2 linked regions of the Drosophila melanogaster genome follow. The protein of the gene in region 1 interacts with the protein of each later gene in a pairwise test. Each region holds a gene or a part of one and is shown in the gene's direction. Other genes may lie near its edges.

Region 1 (6,676 bases):
TACTTGTTAATCTCTACGATACTGGTAAGTTTAGAGCTACTAAGTATACACCCTTGCGTTAACGAATCTTATCATTCTATTCAGCTAAACTGTGACAAAAATCAATATGAGCTAGATGTTATCAATAGCAAGCTCTATCACTATGACATTGTTACTGACAACTGTTTTAATCCGTGGGTCTTCACAGACATGATTTCCCTGATCGTGGGCGTAAGCTACACCTTCGCCCGAATTCCATTTGCCCTAAAGATGCTCATTACATGTTGCGCAACCGTTGCTTACTTGGTTATCGTATTCTTTCAGTACTCATTTATTTTCGAGCACAGTGCCACCACAACACCATTTATGAAGGCGGAACTAGCTCATTGTCTTCGGGTGTGCATGATGTTACTCACGATGTACGCAAAGGAGCGTCAGTCAGAGTTTAATACGAAAATTAACTTTAAGTATGTTTTTAATGCTCTTTCTACTTCTCAATAAAGAGAATTTTCGCCTTGTTAACAGGATCAATCAGGATTTGCAAGGCAAGCAAAAAGCGGCTGACATCACGAACAAATCCATCATAATTCTACTCACTAACATTCTTCCCTCCCACGTGGGTCAGTTCTTACCTGAATACAAGCCCAAAGCTTAGGGTTCTTATCAAACACGCTTTCACCCACAGTTGAGGTTTATCTCGATTCAGTAGCCAATCACGAACTGTACTACGAAAACTATAAAATGGTGTCCGTCATGTTTGCCATGCTCATCAATTTTCAAATGGATTTGCCCAGCCTTCGAGTTTTAAACGATATTATAACAGAATTTGATAGACTGGTAAGCTTATGTATTGATTTCTAGATAATAAGGTATCATCACTTTCGAACCCAGTTAAATGCCTACAAGGAATATTATGTCGTCGAGAAGATTAAAGTCGTGGGCTGCACTTATATGGCAGCTTGTGGACTTGATTTTACCCTGGCTAAGTCAAAATTTGGAAGCAGAACACATGCTTCTTACTCATCCGAATGTAAGTACACCCTCTTGATGGACTTCCAATGATGAAGGGTTTAAATTTTGTTAATAAACTCATTTCTTTTAGTGGAACAGGTGCTTTATCGCAAAGAGTCCAAAGGCACAGAAAATGACCACGATGAGGTGGCCTTTATAATGACCACGTTTGCCTTGGATCTAATGAGAGTGCTTTCCGTCTGCAATAAGGCATACGCTGGTAGACCCTTCGATCGTGCTCTATCTACCGGAGAGATCTGTATCGGAATCTCAACGGGTGAAATAATGGCCGGAGTTGTGGGGGCGTCTCAGCCACACTATGACATCTGGGGAAACCCTGTGAATATGGCTTCTCGAATGGAATCGACAGGGCTGCCTGGACACATCCATGTGACGCAAGAGACAGCCAATATTCTCGAGCAGTTCGATATTATGTGCATGTACCGTGGCATGACCTTTGTAAAGGGTCGTGGCGAAATTCCCACCTACTTTGTGGGCATCGACGATAACTTGAAGTTTTTGCCCTCAAATGTGAAGAAGAACAATATGTCAAAGCGTTTTTCAATCTTGTCCTCTCTAGTGCCAGTTCACAGCCGAAGTACAACTTCAAGTGAATACATTTAATACTTTTTAAAATTTTTAGAGATTTATATTCTGTACGCTACCTCGTATAAGATATTTTCAATCATTTATATCATATGTTATAATATGTAAAATAAAGGTTAATGACATTCAATTAAGTTAAATGTAGGTTCATGGGTCTAAGCAGGCTTTGAGTCCTGGAACCTAGTTCTCATTCATACAATAACTCAAACGTAAAAAAAATACTACTTAAAAATATGAACAAAAAAAACACTTACAAAACGCCGTACAGGGAAAGGTTTAGGCGATGTAATCTGGAATATACTAATGAACGCCTTTGGGAACAAAGTTATTTGAAGGTAAGAAATTTGCTCAGATATCCGTTTCTTAAATGCAACAGATATTCGTAGGCCAGATGTAAGGAGTTGCACTTAGAGGAGGAATATATGAAATATAAGATTCGTTTGATGATCAGTTCCCTTACCGTTTTTGTCCCCATGTTAATACTACTGATCGTAGCTCTTCAAGTAATCATATGGTCATTTACCGAGGTAAGCGTTTTCAGTTGGCGATCTAGTTATTTTGACGTATATTACTCTACGCAGTATACAAAATACATCTATATAAATGCGATATTTGACTTGGGATCATTAATTTTAGTCACGGGCCTACTAAGCATAAATTTCTTTGAAGACTTTGTAATCCGCCACAGATGGGTCATGACTTTCACCTCGACTTTGTCGGCATATGTTGTGGTATTGGGTGGTAAGTTTAAGAAGTTAAATATGCCCTTATATTATAGTTACACCAGCTACTTGTAGAGTGTTTGTACTAGATTCAATGATAATTAGTCGATCCTTAAAATCCACAACTTCTTTCCATATACACTCAACTATAGTGTTTTCTCTTGTTTTCAGATATAGCCTTTAACACTTATTATTATTACAAATCCAACTGGCCTCTTAATACCTTATACGATGTCTTTGTGCTCTGCATGATCTACATGTTCCTGCCAATACCTTCGAGCAAGGCAGCAGCTCTGCTAGCCATATCTGTTAGTTTAACATATGTGATATATTTTATTCACTTCATGGCGTTTAACGAGCATAATGTTGCTAAATATGTTCATGGTCTGGATATAGTATCAATCGATTTTTTTCACTACCTGGGCTTCAATATGATGGGAATATTCTTCAGAATCATGAACGACACCATGGTGCGCTCGTCGTTCTTGGACCGATACCAGTTCATTACGGAGGAGATTTGGCTACGCCAAGCTCGCCGTCAAGAATCCTTGCTGCTGGATAGCATACTTCCACCACAGATTGCGAAGCCCATTCAGAAAAGCATTAAGGAAAAGATCATACAGCCCGATAACGACTTCTACCATCTGGGCACTTCGCGGACAGCAGAAAACTTCATGTCCATCCAGATTCACAACGATGTCAGTATCCTTTATGCTGATCTGGTGAACTACACCCAATTGACCACAACATTGACGGTGGAGAAGCTGGTGAAGGTCCTGCACGACCTCTACGCCAGATTTGATTTGGCTGCCTTATCTTTCAAGGTGCAGCGCATCAAGTTCCTTGGCGATTGCTACTACTGTGTGGCGGGTTTGGGGGAATCTGATCCTGATCACGCCACCATGGCTGTGTCTCTGGGAATTTCCATGATTGCTAACATTAAGGAGGTGAGGTATGTTGATTACTATGATCCCATTAGGTTTAGAATCTATGATTTATGGCGTCCCACATCGGCAGAAAGGGATTCGTTTTTTTTTTAGTTATTTTGCTCTAATTTGGCTTTCATTTTGAGTACCATTTCGTCCGCAGTGTGAATCGTTCTTTGAATATTGGCATGCGAATTGGTGTCCATTCGGGAACTTTGTTTGCAGGTGTAATCGGCAAGGCCAAGCTACAGTACGACATATGGGGTATGGTACGATGCAACAAATCAATGACACAAAACATATTCGTGAGTTTTCCAGGTGCCGACGTGAATATTGCCAGTCGTCTGGAAGCAACCGGAAGTCCCGGGTATGTGCATGTTAGTGGACGAACTCTGAGCAGCTTGAACGCTGAGGAATACAATATATATCCGGGCACGGAATCGGCCCAGAAGGATCCCGTACTGCAGAAACATCCGATGAGCACCTACCTCCTCACCGCTATACCATCCCTCGATTCGGATAAAACAATTAGCATAGTTGAGGGCGTTCCTAACCTGGACCTTCAAACCGTGGGATCTAACCGAAAATCACAGATTTTGAAGCCTAACTTACTGTCCCATGAGATGCGTGAGGAATTTAGAAAGATGCCGGTGGGGGGTTTCAAGTGAGTTGTGGGGAAAACTGTGCATTGTGCACCTGCAATGAAATAACGAACTACTACCGCAGATTTCAATTCCCTTGGTCGCGAAGAGAAAGAAATTTGAAAAACGAGAAAGTCGAACGCGATTTGGGCATTTTTTGTGTCGCATTTAAGGACAAATCTGTGGAATGGAATTATTTGCATCAGCCCGATTATATTTTTAAATATTCAGTGGCGCTCGGCTGGGGAATTGGTTGCTGTCTTATTTATATCCAGTCCGTGAACAACTCAGATATCTTTTATACGGGTGTTGTCATTAACATTATCGCGTTTTTCGTCCTGACTTTCCTACTATTCATTTGCTGGTACAAGAAAGTGTGCTGGTGGCATAGTGGACAAAACGAGCACAGGAGTTACGGCAAACTCAGCTGCGCCATATTCCACTTGTTTGAAAAGATCCAGCACAGTTTTGTCCTTCGCCTCACTGTCTACATGATGATAATATTGTGCTATTACATGGTGATCTCCTTGATATTAGTGAGTTATGAAACAACGCATGTATTTAATATATATATATATTTTTTTGTATGCCCAAAGATGAGCTGTGAAAAGGACCAATATGAGTTGGACATTATAGAGAGCAAGCTCTACAACTATGACATGGATCCGTTTACCTGCTTCCACCCCTGGGCCTATACGAACATGATGGCCCTTATCCTGGGAATGAGTTACACCTTCGCCCGCATTCCCTTCGCCCTCAAGACCTTTATCGGTTGCGCCGAAGCAGTGGTTTTCGTCCTGGTTGTGTGTTTCCAGTACGCGTTCATTTTCGAGCACAGTGTTACCACATCGCCCTATTTAAAGGCTGAAATAGCTCATTCCTGCAGGGTGTGCATGATGTTGATTACTATGTACGCTAAGGAGCGTCAGTCAGAGTTCAACACTAAAATGAACTACAAGTAAGCAAATACTTTCTTTAAATCAGCTGATTTACTGATTTTCCTAACTGATTGCAGGCTCAACCTGGACTTGCAAAACAAGCAAAAATCGGCCGATGTAACTAACCAGTCCATCATAATCCTGCTTAACAACATTCTTCCATCTCATGTTGGTCAGTTTGCTAAGAATATCGCCCCAAGAAGCTTAGTATCTCAGTTCTTAGTTCTCTTTCGCAGTCGAGGTATATCTCAGCTCTATAGCCAAACACGAACTCTATTATGAAAACTATCGAATGGTATCAGTCATGTTTGCCATGCTCACAAACTTTCAAATGGATTTGCCCAGCTTAAGAGTGCTAAATGATATCATCACAGCGTTCGACAGATTGGTAAGTATTGATTTTAATTTACGACTATACTATACTTTCCGATTGCAGCTTTCTGCGTACAAGCAATATTACGTAGTCGAGAAGATCAAAGTCGTCGGATGCACTTATATGGCAGCCTGTGGATTGGACTTTAGCCTGATTGAAAACCTTGATAGCAACTCGAATTTTGGCAGTACATCATTGTCATCCGAATGTAAGTGCCAAATGCATTGGTTCTTAATATAGGTCTTCTAATGTGATATGGGTATATTTGATTAATTCAGTAGAACAGGTGCGTTCTCGTTTGGAGTCATCTATAAAAGAGAAGAACCATGATGAGGTGGCTTTTATAATGGCTACGTTTGCTCTGGACCTGATGCGCGTTCTGTCGGTGTGCAACAAGGCTTACGCCGGAGAACCATTTGATCGGGCTTTGTCCACCGGCGAGATAAGGATCGGTATCTCTACGGGTCAGATAATGGCTGGAGTGGTAGGCGCTTCCCAGCCGCACTACGACATCTGGGGGAACCCGGTCAATATGGCCTCCCGAATGGAATCGACTGGTTTGTCTGGACATATACAGGTTACAAAGGAGACTGCCCAAACGCTCGAGGAGTTCGATGTTATGTGCTATTATCGCGGCTTAACCTTTGTGAAGGGTCGTGGTGAAATTCCCACCTATTTTGTGGGCATCGATAAAGACCTAAAGTTCATGTCCAAGAAAATCGATAGACTTTCTGAGAACCCATCTAATCCAGATCTAAACCATGACCTGGACGGCTCCTAAGACAGATACAAATTTTTTCGGCAAATTCTTCTCAATATGGAATTCGAATCGCAAATGCATATTGAAGGCTTCGTTTCTCAAATTTTGAGATCGTAGTTCTTGTCTGTAAAATTTGAGATGCGTAGCCTTACAAAATGATGTGGACTCAAATCTTGTAAAAATTATGTGGAAAATACATATTTGTAATACCTTAGAACGTTTTGTCCCATTTTTTTCAATCCTTTGGAGGGTTCAACAAGTTCCTTTTATAAAGCGAAAAATCTGGTTAAAGTAGGCTGTGTGTTCGATGCTTAAATTGTTCTGCTGAGTCTTGTCAATCGAAAACAAAAGCCAGGTAAGATAAGCTGGTAAAACGAAATGCCTCGCTCCCTAGGAAATTGTCAGCTTAATTATTCAAAGGAACGCATGTGGGAACCTGGCTACCTCAAGGTAAAATTAAGTCTTTGGACCTGGAATTCTTTTATTAATATTCTATGTCCGAATATTCTAGGCTAAATGTGCAGAGTTGCGTTTGGAGAGCGAGTTTCGACTGTATCGGATACGGCTTTGGAAGAGTTACCTACTCACTTTTTTTATGCTGCATATATTCGTTACCTCCGTGCACTGTGCCCTACTTTTAGCAACGATTGAGGTAAGAACCGCCTAACCTAGATACAATTTTAGACCAACAGTTGCACAACATATTTAAAAAACCATTAA
Region 2 (2,702 bases), on another chromosome or scaffold:
CTTAAATTACATGTTTTTGAGCAATGCACCCATGTCGCCTTAGATAACAAAATCCTAAATATAATTTATCGCTCTCGATTCATTTACATAAGATATGAACGGAGCCCAAAATTGTAAGTCTTTAAATATATTCGTGTTCATGTGTGAACAGCCCTGATCAGCGGATCTCCACTTGATGGGCGATGAGTGGCGCCGGCAAAAAGTACAAATACAGTGAGGCCTGGATTGTGAAGGGCGGCCGATTCAATGGCACAGGCCTCCCGTGCCGTCAATTGGACCACAGAGCTCTTTTCTATCCGCTTGAAATTCGTGGTTTCATGGAAGAATATATTTTGTCCACGACTTGGCTGCTTTTTGGCCTTAAGAACATCGAGCAGGGGTATGACTGGAATTTTCTTAGAAACCTTGTCCAATTTGAACTTGGATTGGTTGGCCACCGACTTGGCTGCCTTTTTGGCTAAGGAATTCTGCACGTGCTTTTTATTCTTAGCCTTGCTATCGATGAGATTTGCTTTCTTCGTCGAATTCGTTAGTTCTGTTTGTGCTTTCGGGTAAGCATGATTGTATGCTATCCATTTGTAGGTTAATACGATGCTGAGAATCAGGAGCAGAGAACCTACAACGATTAAAGTTCGTGACACTTTCATTATGAGATTTTTAGACTGCACTTCAACGTCGTAGCTTACGGTTAACTAACAGCCAAATTCGTTTCACTTCACACACGAAATTGTGATTGTAACAGCAATATGCAAGAAAAAAATATTTTGTATGATATTTTGAAAGCTTATGCTCTATATTTTAAGTAACTTATGCTTGGGTTCCACTTAATTCCTTTTTTTATATATCAGCATAATCAAACACATGCCAATGATAATTACATTATTTTCCTCGAATGAACCACGTATAATAAGGTCAAGCGTGTCGAATTTGAAGATTTGTTTCACTTGGCGATCTTTTTTGCCTATATAAGCGGTCTTGCATTTCCTCATTTCTTTTAAATTGACTTCCAACTGGCCGATATGAAGTTCCTAGCTCTTTTCGTCACTTTGCTGGTTGTTCTGGCTTTGGTTAGCGCCCAAAAGAGCCAGAATACAAATCACAACGTCATCGTCATCGGTGCCAAGAAGCCAGGAGCTGCACCTGCCGCAGCAGCTGCTGCTGCTCCTGCCGCACCTCCTGCCGCAGCTCCTGCCGCAGCTCCAGCTGCTCCTGAAGCAGGACTCGCAGATGCTCCAGCCGAAAGTTAAATATTATGAGTCAGAGGTTATTTTCTTCTAATAAAATGGATCGCTAATCACAATATATGTTTATGAGAGTGTTTAATCTATGTATTACAATATTAAACTACATGGACTGACTTTTGAAACCCCAACCAGACATGGGAGTAGATAGTAACCAGACCACTGCTGTCATAGATCCTTCTGAAACAGGTGTGATTATGAATTGGAATTCAAACAACAAAAAGGTATCTTCGGTTCAGTAAATTTCATTTACGTTTCCCAATATTGTTGGGAAAATAATAATTTTATTTTAACTGACTATTGTTATCACGACAAGTCATTGAGAACTGTGGTAGATAGTAACCAGACAACTGCTTTCTCATATCCTTCTGAAACAGGTGTGATTATGAATTTGAATTCAAGAAGAAACTTTTTTTTTCGGCTTAGTAAATTTCATTGGCGTGCTTTTTAAAAATGCTTGCTAAAGACTAATACTAATTTTATGAAATCAAGAAAGATTTCTATCGCCGTGCCAGGTAAGTTCAGATTATATAAATGTTTGTCAGATTGACAAAAGGAATCAAGTGTTATTTAAATTGTAATCGGTCTATTATGTCTCGGGTTTAAGGAATTAGTTCCACTTCTTTTTCTTTCATCGTGCAATTAATTTCAAATTGTCTGGCATTTAGATTAGTATCGCTTACGCAACCCAGGCCTTATAAGAAGAGCACTCCCCTAGCTTGTCATTACTTCCAATTCCAACTGGCCGACATGAAGATCACCTCTGCACTTGTTCTGCTCTTTGCCGGTGTGGCTTTCGCCCAATCTGCGGATCCGAACACCAACGAAAACAAGAATGTGATCCACATCAATAGTCCCAGCGCCGCAAAGTAAATGAGCTTTTGATAATTGCAGGCACAGAATTCAATAAAACATTTACTTAATTGTTTGCATGTAATAGCAATGGCCTATTTATTTTATTTTAAGTTGAAATATTAAATCTATTTTAGTATACAAGAATATACCATATATATTTTTTCATAAACCTTTTGTTCGAAGCTTTGTTTGGCCAAAACTTATTAATGGTCATGGCTTTTACGACTAGTCACAATCTGACAGTATATCAGATGTTTTTGCCTAATTATATTAAATATAAATTTTAATATATATATTTTATGCTAAAAACGCAAGTGTTTCAAAAAGCGCTGATACCGAAACCAAAGGTGCCAATGCCAAATGTACCAAAACCAAATGTACCAAAACCAAATGTAGCAAAACCAATTTTACCAAATGTAATATTCAAAAGATTTGATTTTCGTACGACCGAAAGAAAAATGATTTAACGATATTAAAATTGGCCACCGTTTAAAAGAATTAAACGATTCGCTTGGCTTATGCAACACTTGGCTTATAAACTATATAAAAACCGGGTCTGTGTTTTATTTCTATTCTCTTCTGATAGACATGAAGTTCCTTGCGGGT

What was found. Proteins that work in one complex are often made in the same cells at the same time.
Region 2: the proteins of ACXA (region 1) and Mst57Db interact in a two-hybrid assay, tested with the Drosophila melanogaster proteins (one large-scale study listed by BioGRID).

Annotation. Positions count from the first base shown.
Region 1 is NT_033779.5:12,919,285-12,925,960, forward strand, and holds ACXA (adenylyl cyclase X A), read left to right. Parts: upstream 1-1,806; 5' UTR 1,807-1,829; coding exon 1,830-1,931; intron 1,932-1,982; coding exon 1,983-2,123; intron 2,124-2,177; coding exon 2,178-2,337; intron 2,338-2,489; coding exon 2,490-3,270; intron 3,271-3,407; coding exon 3,408-3,508; intron 3,509-3,562; coding exon 3,563-3,908; intron 3,909-3,970; coding exon 3,971-4,421; intron 4,422-4,481; coding exon 4,482-4,843; intron 4,844-4,900; coding exon 4,901-4,995; intron 4,996-5,046; coding exon of another isoform or gene 5,047-5,059; coding exon 5,060-5,211; intron 5,212-5,259; coding exon 5,260-5,404; intron 5,405-5,474; coding exon 5,475-5,977; 3' UTR 5,978-6,169; downstream 6,170-6,676. Other genes in the region: ACXB (adenylyl cyclase X B), read left to right, coding at 1-24, 85-446, 505-599, 665-816, 871-1,009, 1,082-1,614; ACXE (adenylyl cyclase X E), read left to right, coding at 6,335-6,406, 6,468-6,608.
Region 2 is NT_033777.3:25,830,194-25,832,895, reverse strand, and holds Mst57Db (Male-specific RNA 57Db), read left to right. Parts: upstream 1-1,981; 5' UTR 1,982-1,991; coding exon 1,992-2,114; 3' UTR 2,115-2,176; downstream 2,177-2,702. Other genes in the region: Mst57Da (Male-specific RNA 57Da), read left to right, coding at 1,020-1,247; Sfp96F (seminal fluid protein 96F), read left to right, coding at 2,685-2,702. UniProt on the Drosophila melanogaster protein: Transferred from male to female during mating and may affect egglaying and behavior after mating.